Saccharomyces cerevisiae S288C: one gene and its partner. Changing the gene in region 1 together with any one later gene gives a genetic interaction. Each region holds a gene or a part of one and is shown on either strand. Other genes may lie near its edges.

Evidence for each region. A genetic interaction does not mean that the proteins touch.
Region 2: mutations in MKS1 (region 1) and RMD1 together harm fitness more than expected from each alone (negative genetic interaction), as found in Saccharomyces cerevisiae (2 studies listed by BioGRID).

What each region holds. Positions count from the first base shown.
Region 1 is NC_001146.8:480,711-487,566, reverse strand, and holds MKS1 (Mks1p), read right to left. Parts: upstream 4,012-6,856; coding exon 2,257-4,011; downstream 1-2,256. Other genes in the region: MLF3 (Mlf3p), read left to right, coding at 1-801; snoRNA-binding rRNA-processing protein IMP4, read right to left, coding at 1,088-1,960; APJ1 (Apj1p), read right to left, coding at 4,590-6,176; NIS1 (Nis1p), read right to left, coding at 6,576-6,856. UniProt on the Saccharomyces cerevisiae protein: Negative regulator of Ras-cAMP pathway. Involved in transcriptional regulation of galactose-inducible genes.
Region 2 is NC_001136.10:444,298-450,617, forward strand, and holds RMD1 (Rmd1p), read left to right. Parts: upstream 1-3,686; coding exon 3,687-4,979; downstream 4,980-6,320. Other genes in the region: MCD1 (kleisin alpha), read left to right, coding at 386-2,086; NHP10 (Nhp10p), read right to left, coding at 2,670-3,281; alpha,alpha-trehalase NTH1, read right to left, coding at 5,923-6,320. UniProt on the Saccharomyces cerevisiae protein: Required for sporulation where it is believed to have a role in meiotic nuclear division.

The DNA.
Region 1 (6,856 bases):
AAACTTTCGAGATCTCATTCGCATTCTGCGGCTACACGTCCCACCTTGAATAACATCAATAACACCGGGATGACCACCACAACTTCAAATGGCGAACCAAACTCCAGAATACTAAGATTCTACTCTTACGTCGATATGTTGAATGATGAAAAACTTGCACAGGCCAATAATACGCCTACATCTAGACCACCTATGAAATCCCAAGCGTACTCATGCCCTTTCATCCTCAAGAGGTCCCCACCACAAGCCTATTCTTCATCGTCAGCAACAACGACATTTTCCAACCCCTTCATCAAAACTACAGAATTACCAGCTACTTCGCCTTATGTATCTCCGCAGCAATCTGCGAGACAATATTCAAATAATGCTAATAACAATGCAAAATCCCCAAAAAACCGGTCATCTTCGATACTATTTCAAAGACAATCCATTTTATCAAACGTTGACCCTGTTGCAAACATGCACAAGAATCCCAAGTTCCAAATAGAATCAAGTGACAGCGAAGAAGAAGATTTAACCATGGACATGCTAGATCCTTCCTTTCCGTTAAGTTCGTCTTTGCGTTCAAGTGCAAACTTGGCAAGTAATCCCGAATTAGCAACCCAGACGCCTTTATCGACATCTTCGTCATATACAGCAATAGGCAAGCCCATGCCTTTATCAACAGATCCTTCTTACGTGTCTTCTTCTAATACGTTATCCTCCGAACATGAGTTAAGAGTTGAAAAAGTCAGTGAAGTGCTTAAGAAAAAAGTTTCAAATGGTGGATTTTCAACTGAATTTAATAGTTGTGATACATAAATTTCCTTTCTGCACCTCTTCCCTTCGTTCGTTTTGTTCTTTTAAATTTATGTCTTCATATGGTTATTTTTTTTATGTAGATACTCTCACAGATACATTGATAAACAATTAAGAAAAAAAAAAAACGCAAAAATAAAAATAAATCATGTGTTATGCTATCTCTTCTTTTCTCTTATATTCCCTCTAAGACGCTTTTTTTTTTTTTTTTTTTTTAAGAATACCATATTAGACTTACATAAGGCCTCATCGGCCTTCTATTTTAACCTTTACAAATCTATAAAAAAATTCACAAATAGTCTTTTTTATTGGCAGTCCTTATGAATCTTCTCAACTGCCACTCAACATCAGCGTCCTTATTTTCTAAAGTTCCCAACCTCAGTTCAAACAACCTCATCTCAAATCTAGGACCAACTTCGGCAATCTCTACTCCCTCTCTTGTTCTCACATATACATGCTGTCTAACGCTAATGAAATCACCCCTATTCGCAAAAGTGATTACTCTTTCGGAATCTTTTTTGGGCCCCGCATTGAACAAGTGCTTTAAAATACAGACTACTCTTTTCCCTAAAGCGGTAGTAAAGTTATCAAATATTAGATGTGGATTCACTTCGCTTTGGTTACCAGCATTTATAATATCATGTCTCATAACAACATTGTGTAAACTAAACTGTGCAGTGGGTCCATGTGGAAAATGTGATATGGTCAAAGAAGTTGGAACACCTCTATGTTCATGTAATACCACCAAATCTGTAGTACCGGATTTTTTACAAGCATCCACTAGATTTGGCATCACATAATTACCTCTGTTCAGCCTGACAGCATTTGGAAATAGCAGTTTAATTTCTTTGGCAAATTGCGAGAGACGAGTGCTTGGGTCACGAGATGTTGTGACGATGATTCTTGGATCCATTATACCACTTGTGGCAGCATATTCATCATCAACCTGTAGATCATCTGCTTCTTCGCTCTCCTTTAAACTTTGGTCATATCTGAAATCCTTTTGTAAACTCTCATCTTCTGCTAGTTCCTTTGGCAATGGCTTCCCCTGAGCTAGCGCTTGTTTAATTATTTGACGTTTTTGTTGCAGTTGAGAATCTTGTAATTCTTGCGCTTTTCTGTATAGATATTCTCTCCTTTCACGGGCTTGTCTTCTTAGCATTTCGATTTAACTGTTTTATTATTTATGGGAACACTTGAATCAATGATAAAACCGAGTATATATGCCCTTTCAAGTCCAACCTCATGCAATCAATATATACGCTACTTCATGCATTTTCATCTCATCGCATTTCCGGGATAAAATTTTTTATATTTTTCAGTACACAATATCCGTTACCCGAAGTGAATAGTGTGTCATTAGAAGGAACTCTTTCACTGCGTAGATAGTAAAATATATGACATTATCTTTTTTTGAAAGAACTTTAAATACTGTATCTGATTTATTTAACTTAGTAATCATATTCGCCCTCCATTACTCGTCTTACGCCCCAGTGCTTCCGTTCTCTGATTAGAGGTGTCATCATTACCATTTCCATTACTGTTTGCAATACTCGTATTGTCAAGCCGTGATATTGTACGTACCATCTTTTCTTCCTCAGAGATCTCCATTCTGGTCTTCAAAAACCCAGTATTCCTGTTCTTGGATGGGATATCCATCGACTGCCGCCTCGAAAAACGATGTCGCGTATTACTACCAGTGGCAATCGCCATTCGTTGTTGGTGAATGTTATTTGGCAAAAACATGTGAGTAGATAAGGCGGTGGGCAGTATAGTTTGAGCAGTTAGCGGAGCATTAGATTCATATAAATGATTGGACTCATTATCAGTTTTGAAGTCCTTTTGTATATCCATCGATAACCGCTCATTGTTGGATGGTTGCGGGGGAGATAGCGATGCTAGAGCTGTCACGTTGCTTGTTTTCAAAGAAGGTTTTTGTTGTTTTATACCATTAGCGCTCGGTGGATTTTGCTGCGGTTGAGGACCGATATTACTATGAGAGGACTGAGGAGTCGGCGAAACGTGTTTAGAAGCGTATTCACTATGTGCAGTATTGTGGTTATTACTGTTGCTATTTGCCTCACTAAGGAATAGTCCACTGAGTAAACTTTTTCGTACGGGATCATGGGATGTGTTTGAGTTGATTGTGTTCGCTGATGAAACAGATGATTTCGTTGAGTCAAGATTCTGTTGATTTTTGGCAAATAAAAGCTTGTCCCATTGTCTTCTATAGTACTGATCTGCTTCTTCCTCATTATAATCATCGTACTCTTCATCATCTTCATCAGCGTAGAATTCTGAATCATTCGAAACGCTGTCCCAATCGGAATCTTCATCTTCACTGCTGAAAAATATCTTGTTTTTTCCTTTTCTAGAGGATGTTTTCGAAAGTGACAGTTGACCATTTTGGTCATTCTTGTAAGACCTTGGCCTTCCGAATAAAGATTCCTTCTGAGGAAAAGAGGATTTTCTACTTCCCATATTTTCAAGAGTAGGACTGGTACTCTTGGAAGTCTCATTATCAATGCAGTTCATGTTCATGTCTCCTATATGCTGGAAAGGTGATCTTGAGCGTCTTGATTGTAAAGGTTTCTTGGTTATAACAGTGCTTGTATCAAAACCAGTGATAATAGTTTGTGGTTCTTCCTTATTAGCAACATGGTTCACATTTTTCATTTTTTGATATTTGTCTGCAAAATTTGAAAACAACCCTGACGTAGTAGATTTGGAGAATTGTCTGTTTGGAGCAACGTCATTTTTCACATCATTGTTTGTAGAATTAGGATTATCCAAGGATCTATCGTGAGCACCCTGTGCGATAGCTGGTGATGTCATTGGCCGAGTTAAAACGTTCTGTTTTGCCGTTGTGGGAGGCAAATTGGCCTTTTGTAATGGTGGCTGCTTTACTGCTGCCTGCTTTGGCTTTATTGGCTGTTTGTTGTTTGGATTTAACACATAATATATGTTCTTCACGCCGTCTCTTTTTTTAGATCGATTAATATTATGCTCCTTTAGAACAGCTTTATTCAGAATTCTCCAACTTATATTGTGCAGCCTTTCTCCCTGCTCGACACATTTGGATGCTTTTATTAACGTAAGATATAGTTCGACATCATCAAATAAATTCAATCGCTCTGGGGTAAATAAATTAGGTGTGACTTTTAAAAACTTGTTAGTACCTATATTCGGTACATCAAATGCCTCCCGCGACATCAGTTCTTTTTTTTTATTAGGATTAGAGAATAATTAGGAAGTGTTGCTTAAGTAAATGAGATGGAACTAAGGGGTAGTTCTCTTTTTTCTTGAGGGTTGTGCTCTGTTCGTTTTCACGCAATAGTACAGTATATGTTTCTCCTTTTGTTCAGATCATTCAAATAAAAAGCAAAAAGGAAAGAAAATGAACACTTGGGTTAAAGATCCCTACTGCTGAAACCAAAACGATATTTTGATGAACTTAGAAATATGATCAGTGGTGAACTTCCCTTGCTTCTCTGTAACAACGGCATGCACATTCTAATCGGTTTTTTTTTTTGCTTTTCTGTTAAGTAACCTCCCACGATCTCTTGGCAGGCACTAAGAAAAAGATGAATAACAATGTATTACACGCTAAAAAAACTGCTAAAGGACTAGGGCTGCAATGATATTACCACCCAAACCGCGGTAAACCATCCACAGGAAGAATAGCGTATCTTTCCGCATTGCTTAAAAAAAGGAATGTCCTTATAGATAGAGTACTGATACAAAAAATAAAAATAGAAAATGTATAACATTACTGCATGACTATATAACCTTCAATATCCATTAATATCATGGTCATAAAAACCGCTTACCGGTGAAGAATATTTATTTCGTTTCGTTTCATTATTATTATTAATATTACTTTCGTCGAATCGACGGTTGTTCCTTTTCCGAGAATCTCTTTCATTAATCAAATCACCAAGGTCGTCGTCTTCAATAACTTCATTGTTTAAATTAGGGGCCTCAAAGCTACTTAACACATGCTCTTCCACACTGTCATATGACTTCTCCAAATCGCAATAGCAGTCTGAATCTGCGGTTTCCATGGTGGAACGTTCTGCTTTAATGTATTTATCATTAGCCAGAATATTTTGTATTTTCTTAGCATTTTCAGGTTCCAGTCTCTCTGGATACGTCACATCGAATTTGACATATAGATGACCGAAACCGCTCCGAACACCGTTGATAAACTTGGGCATCCCCATGTCCTCAACAGTCTTGAAACAACCAGGCTTCAGTATCTCGCCAGGTATAATATCAAGTTTGATCAACTTACCGCTAGGGTGCCCTTCAATATAAACTACGCCTCCACATAAACTGGTCATGAAGTCGATTTTGCACTTCTTACATATCAAATTGGAGTAGTTGATAACCTGGAAATTCGGATCTTTTAAACGTAAAATGGTGATAACGACGTCACCAGGTATTACCTTTTCGTGACCGCCTCCCTTAGTACTAATAACTTCGTCACCTTCGCCCGTAAGTACTATAAGTTGGTTATGACACGATCCCGGTTGAACGGTGACTTGTAGAATCTTCCTCTCCTTAATGAAGCCAAGACCTTGGCACTGTTGGCAAATATCTTTATTTTTGACAAAAACCCCGGCACCCCCGCAATCTGCACAAGTTTGAGACCAACTTTGTACTAGAGGTCCCATACGCCTAGTTTGGGTTTGAATACCTTGCCCTTTGCATGTTTTACAAGTGCATTTCTTTAGACCACCGTGCCCATCACAAACACTGCAAATCCTTGTCCTATTCAAACCCAACTTTGCAGTCTTACCCATGTAGAGTTCCTTCAATGTGCACTTTAGATTATGTTTGATATCAGGGCCTCTATCCAAATGATGGTCCTCATCGTTGGAGTTGTATTTTGCTGACGAGGAGTACAGATTGTTCACGCCACTGCCATTAACAAAGGAGAAGCTCGGCGTAGAGCTATTATTGAAGCTAAAATTAAAACTGCTTTTGGAGCCATTAGAAGAGGGGGTAGCAGAACTATTAAAAAACTGCGCGAAAAGATCACCTGGAGATAGATCCGGGAATGACATTGCTTCCGTATCGAAATTTGAGGATGAACTGAACGGCCCGGCTTGTTGGCGTTGCGCCTGCGCCTGCTGCTCTTGAATCAGGACTTCATCTGTGGTACCGTACTGGTCATACAAAGCTCTTAAACGATTGTCTTTAAGTATTTCGTATGCCTGGCATATCTCTTGAAACTTTCGCTTGGATTCTTCTGTATGATTGTTTTTATCAGGATGATATTTTAATGCAGCGTTCCTGTAAGCTTTCTTAATCTCAGATGTGGATGCAGCGGCAGTAACGTTCAAAGAGTCATATAAAGACGTGTTTTGTTGCATTCTCCGTTATCTTGTGTCCACTGGTAGCAAAAGAAAAATGTGTTTTACTTTATCGTAGGTACAGTACGGCTCGTGTTGTTTAGAGAAATAATCACTGTATCGTGAGGTTGGTTTATTACCGATATAAACTGTTTGATGAATGTTGAATACTATTATAATCTATTCCTATCAGTATATAAAAGCGTTCAAACGATTTCACATACTTGTGGGAACGAAGAACGCGTCATTACCTTTTTAGTCTACAGATTCGATGCTCCAGTCATTTTTTTCCTTTATTTTCCGTAATGTTCTAGAAGAAATCGAGCGGGGGAAAAAGATACATAGAAGGATAATGTGATTAAATAAAGTTTGATGTCTAAGGCTATGCAATGGCTATGCAATCCAGGGGGGGTTACCTACTTAAAAGGGGTCGCTACTAAGTATACTATCGTCTTGACTGTCGGGTATAATTATAGGATTGCTTTTGGTCTCACCTGCCATCTGGAAGAGACTTGAAGGAGTAGATAAAAGGGACATGTCTAAGTCGCTGGCGTTAGAAGAGCAGACAGAGCTTTCATTCGATGCTGAACCCGGAGAGCAAAGCAAAGTCAGGCGCAGTTGCGTCCTCTGTGTTATAACCAGCATTAAGTATTCTCTCCACAGTTCCAACAGCAGTTGCTCCTTTCTTGCATGCGATTTGG
Region 2 (6,320 bases), on another chromosome or scaffold:
AAATGTTCTTCAAACGCGTTTATTATATAATGAAAAAGAAATTCAAATTTTTCGCGTTTGAAAATTTATGCTAAACAAATAACTCGAGGAGGGACGCGTCGAGAAAATCGCGTCTTTCTACTCTCACAGTGCTTGCATACGTATGGTATACAGTATCAAAAGTAGCAGAATTTGTCTTCATTATGATATATATATATATATGTACATATATATAGGGTGCTAAAAAGTATTCTTTTTGCTATTATTATTGCTTAAATCGCCGACCTTTTTCCCATTGTCACGAGAACATAATTGTTAAACCAATAAAAGGAAAATCCATAACAAAAAAGGACTGGTCAAAGAAAAGACAACTCAATTGCACAATTACTTTACAAGAAACACGACAATGGTTACAGAAAATCCTCAACGTCTTACTGTTTTAAGACTTGCCACCAATAAGGGTCCATTAGCACAAATATGGCTTGCTTCAAATATGTCGAATATACCAAGAGGATCGGTTATCCAAACACATATTGCTGAATCAGCAAAGGAAATTGCAAAAGCTTCTGGCTGTGATGACGAATCAGGGGACAATGAATACATAACTTTACGAACATCTGGCGAATTACTTCAAGGCATTGTTCGTGTATATTCCAAACAGGCCACTTTTCTCCTTACAGATATAAAGGACACATTAACGAAGATAAGTATGTTATTTAAAACAAGCCAGAAGATGACTTCTACAGTAAACAGACTGAACACTGTAACAAGGGTTCATCAATTGATGTTAGAAGATGCCGTTACAGAAAGAGAAGTTTTGGTCACCCCAGGGTTAGAGTTCTTAGATGATACTACTATACCAGTGGGCTTAATGGCGCAGGAGAATTCGATGGAAAGAAAAGTCCAAGGTGCTGCTCCCTGGGATACTTCACTTGAGGTCGGTAGACGATTCAGTCCAGATGAAGATTTCGAACATAATAATTTGTCTAGTATGAACCTTGATTTTGACATCGAGGAAGGTCCGATAACTTCAAAATCTTGGGAAGAAGGAACAAGACAAAGCTCACGCAACTTTGATACGCACGAAAATTACATACAAGATGACGATTTCCCTCTTGATGATGCTGGAACTATTGGTTGGGATCTAGGGATTACCGAAAAAAATGACCAGAACAACGATGATGACGATAACTCTGTTGAGCAAGGAAGAAGGCTAGGTGAATCAATCATGTCTGAGGAGCCTACGGATTTTGGATTTGATCTGGATATAGAAAAAGAAGCACCCGCAGGCAATATAGATACGATAACCGATGCCATGACAGAATCACAGCCAAAACAAACTGGCACAAGAAGGAACTCAAAATTACTGAATACCAAAAGTATTCAAATCGATGAAGAAACAGAAAATTCAGAAAGCATAGCTTCATCCAATACATACAAAGAGGAGAGATCGAATAATTTATTGACTCCACAGCCCACCAATTTTACGACTAAAAGATTATGGAGTGAAATAACTGAAAGTATGTCCTATTTACCAGATCCAATCCTTAAGAACTTCTTATCCTACGAATCTCTAAAAAAAAGAAAAATACATAATGGGCGAGAAGGGTCAATTGAAGAACCTGAGTTAAACGTGTCGCTTAATCTTACCGACGATGTAATTAGTAATGCGGGAACAAACGATAACTCCTTCAATGAACTGACCGATAACATGTCAGACTTCGTACCAATTGATGCTGGCTTAAATGAGGCTCCTTTTCCTGAAGAGAATATCATCGACGCAAAGACTAGAAATGAGCAAACTACCATCCAAACTGAAAAAGTTCGTCCTACTCCCGGTGAGGTGGCTTCTAAAGCTATTGTTCAAATGGCGAAGATTTTAAGGAAGGAATTAAGCGAAGAAAAAGAAGTAATATTCACGGATGTACTAAAAAGTCAAGCAAATACAGAACCAGAAAATATTACTAAAAGAGAAGCCAGTAGAGGATTTTTCGATATTTTATCACTTGCTACAGAAGGATGTATTGGTTTGAGTCAAACAGAAGCATTCGGAAATATTAAAATAGACGCCAAACCTGCACTATTTGAAAGGTTTATCAATGCTTAAAACCTAGTTACGCCGAGGGGATTTCTTGGTGGACCCAATAAGCTGATGCATATATAGATCAAAGACTTTAATTTATAAAATTGTCAATATTTAATATTAATATTCACAAAATACGATAAAATTCAAACTAATGCGGTAGAGCCACTACTGGCCGCAAGGCAGAATGATCTTGGCAACTCTACACGCTGGTGCATGGGTAGTATTTATTCTAAAACTTGCTGTATTATTTTGAATAGTGATATTAGGAATCGTCTGCCCACGTACACCGGTGAAGCCGAAATTTTCTCATGGAAACCTTGGGAATAGAAGAAAGGTCCATTGTAAGTGCTACATACTGACCATCTTACATAATCTTACACAACCCTGGTAATAAAGCCACGTCTAGAAAGTTTTCCAGGCCAAACAATCTTCTTTTCCATTAGCTTTGGTACATTAGCAGCCAGAGGAAACATTATGCAGTTTTTAAAGGCTCAACTTTTTATCTAATATACAAAACAATAAAGTTGAACAATTTCTGGATAAAGCGCCTAGAACGTCTTACGATATCTTCAAAGAAAATAGAAAAAAATGGAATTTTTAATTTTTAGTTAGAGGAAACTAAACTTCCATCTTCACCTCCTTTAGAATCAGCTACTTTTGTAGATGATCCTTCCTCGTTATTTTTTATCTTCTGTTCATTCTCTTCTTTATCATCATCCGCATCTATATTAGATATCTTTTTATTATATATTTCCATTTCCATCTGGTATCTTTCTCTGTCCTCACTATAAAGCTTATAGTACGGTTTCCTATCTTGTTCGTTAAGATTTTTCCAACCTTCTGCCAGATCTCTTGTCACGTCCAGAGAGCCATTCTGCCTAATCCTTTCCTTATTCATTTCACAGTACAATAAGTATGCATTTGTGGGCCTCTTGGGCATATTCGGATCTCTTTCCTTTACTTTGTGTCTTTTAGTTTTAGATTTTCGAAATGGCTTCGTCAATAGTTCCTGTTTGAAGGAGGCCAGAGTCGGCAATGGATCCTCACAGTTTAACTCAGGATCAAGTTCTATCCTGGATTCCAACCTCTCCAGTAAAACACCGTATTCTAATTTGAGTCTTTTCACCGAAAGTCGTGACCTTTGGATTGCAAGTCCAAGCACCACATTCTGATCTTTCAATTCTTCAAGTCTGCGCTTTTTTTCTTCAACTGACATTTCTTATGTGTTACTATTACCTATATCCTGGCTGCTTCTCATCCAATTCTAGCCCCTAGAACGATTTAATATATATGTGCGTGGTAATCATTTCCTTATATTTTAATTGAAATCCTTCCTTTCTCAGAAGAAAATCTTTTTTCTAAGGAAAATGGAGAACCGTCGGCTCCTTTTGCTTTACTGGTGTATTCTTGTTTTTTCTGTTTGATAATGCGATTTAGGGCGAAAAACTGCTGACAATACCTTGTCCGCTTTCGTGCACAAGATTTCTTAGCACGAAAATATATCAAGTAACCGTAAAATTATTCCTTTGCCGACTATCACCGTAACTGCGGCTAAACAAATCTGTCCAACTACTACTCAGCTTAAATTAGCATTTTAAATACATTTAATATTCAATTAGTCATGGTAGATAGTAATGATGATCAACCGGAACGCCATGCATTACTTCATAATGACATCCAAACATCAAATAACAGTAGGCCATCACTGGTCCAAAAAAAGTACTTACCTACCCCACAAGATACAAGAAAGTCTAGAGCATCGTATACAGGAAGTGCCATGATCAACCCGACAAGTAAACAAAGTCGTACAGGATCGGGCGCTCAAAGAACATCACGCACAGCACAGAAACTAAAACTTTTGCCAGAAGAACCATTCCAAAGAGATAGCGAAAGACTTACTGATTTAAAGAATCAGGAAGTATATTCTCAGGTAAACAGGATAAAAGATAAGCCTGCTAGAAGGGATGCTGAAAAGTTGGGAAAAGCTCACAGACATTTACTCCCCAGGTCAACTGCATATTGTACTGCTAGCAGTTACAATATGAAAGAGCTGGTAAGGTGGTTAAAGGACTGTCGAAAGCTACATCATACTCATCCTAAATTGTTTGATGAATGCTTGTACACTCCCTTCATTTACAACGATTGGAGGGGCGACAAAAGATTTGAGGATGAAGATGTGATTAGGTTGGATGATGAGGGCGGTGAAATTATTGTTAGTGACAAGCACCCAGATCTGTTTATCTTTGAATATGGTGTTGTCGTTATGTGGGGGTTTACTGAAAGAGAAGAAAAAGCTTTCTTAAACGATATAGAAAAGTTCGAAAAAGAAAAATTGGCGGAAGAAGATATTCAAGTTGAAGAGTTCAATTATTATGTCACAAAAAGTTATCAACCAAGAATATATAACGATTTTATTACCTTGAGAGATGGTTCAAATTACATGGTAAAACTCTCTATCTCTCATGCAATTGCTCAAAGCGTAAAAATTTCACTTTTCGAAGAGCTTGTGGATAATACTATTGAAGATACTCAGGATATACCACAAGAAATTGCATACAGCGGTAAAGTTTCTATGAGCAAAGAAGATATAATGAAAAGTATAGGGGAGCTATTCATTTTGAGGATAAATATCAATCTACATGGATCAGTTTTAGACTCTCCAGAAATTATGTGGTCAGAACCACAGTTAGAACCCATATACCAAGCAACAAGAGGTTACTTAGAGATCAATCAGCGCGTTTCACTTTTAAATCAAAGACTCGAGGTCATTTCAGATCTTCTTCAAATGTTGAAGGAACAGCTGGGCCATTCTCATGAAGAATATCTTGAATTTATTGTCATATTACTAGTTGGTGTGGAAGTCCTAATATCGGTGATCAATATAGTGGTTGACATGCTGGCTAGTCAACATTGAGCCTTTTGATCATGCAAATATATTACGGTATTTTACAATCAAATATCAAACTTAACTATTGACTTTATAACTTATTTAGGTGGTAACATTCTTATAAAAAAGAAAAAAATTACTGCAAAACAGTACTAGCTTTTAACTTGTATCCTAGGTTATCTATGCTGTCTCACCATAGAGAATATTACCTATTTCAGAATGTATGTCCATGATTCGCCGGGTAAATACATATAATACACAAATCTGGCTTAATAAAGTCTATAATATATCTCATAAAGAAGTGCTAAATTGGCTAGTGCTATATATTTTTAAGAAAATTTCTTTTGACTAAGTCCATATCGACTTTGTAAAAGTTCACATTAGCATACATATATTACACGAGCCAGAAATAGTAACTTTTGCCTAAATCACAAATTGCAAAATTTAATTGCTTGCAAAAGGTCACATGCTTATAATCAACTTTTTTAAAAATTTAAAATACTTTTTTATTTTTTATTTTTAAACATAAATGAAATAATTTATTTATTGTTTATGATTACCGAAACATAAAACCTGCTCAAGAAAAAGAAACTGTTTTGTCCTTGGAAAAAAAGCACTACCTAGGAGCGGCCAAAATGCCGAGGCTTTCATAGCTTAAACTCTTTACAGAAAATAGGCATTATAGATCAGTTCGAGTTTTCTTATTCTTCCTTCCGGTTTTATCGTCACAGTTTTACAGTAAATAAGTATCACCTCTTAGAGTTAACCTATACTAAAATTTATGCCAGTTAACTATGAGATAAGCAAGTATCATCTCATTTCATTACCTGAAGTCGAGTAAACAGAAAATCCAATTGTTGATGAACCTCAATGACTTAGAACTATCTATCGGCAGATCATATAAAGAGGATTTAGGTACCTAGAGGACTGTACCTGGAGTATATATATATATATATATATATTATCTCAACTATAGTCCATAGAGGTTTCTTTCTTGAGGCCTTAAACTGCTAAAGAATGATATTGGTGGAATGCAAGCACCAAGCGCTCTTCTTGCGTGACTGTTCATATACTTCAAACCAAGAATGTAACTGGCATTGACCCATCCAAAACCTTCAGTAGCTGCCCCTTTAAAGTCAGCACCTTGATTACCGTATTCTGCTTCAACACGATGAGGATCTGTTCCTCTTGTGACATCATATTTTTCAACCACAATACCATTATAATCGACAAAAGCCTTTGTCATCATGAAAAGCCATCTATAAGCTAGCCTATTCGTTACAGTTAAATAACCATAAGAACGGAGGCCTTCCCAAGCAAGAATTTGATGGGGTGCCCAACCAAATGGATAGTCCCATTGTCTAATTG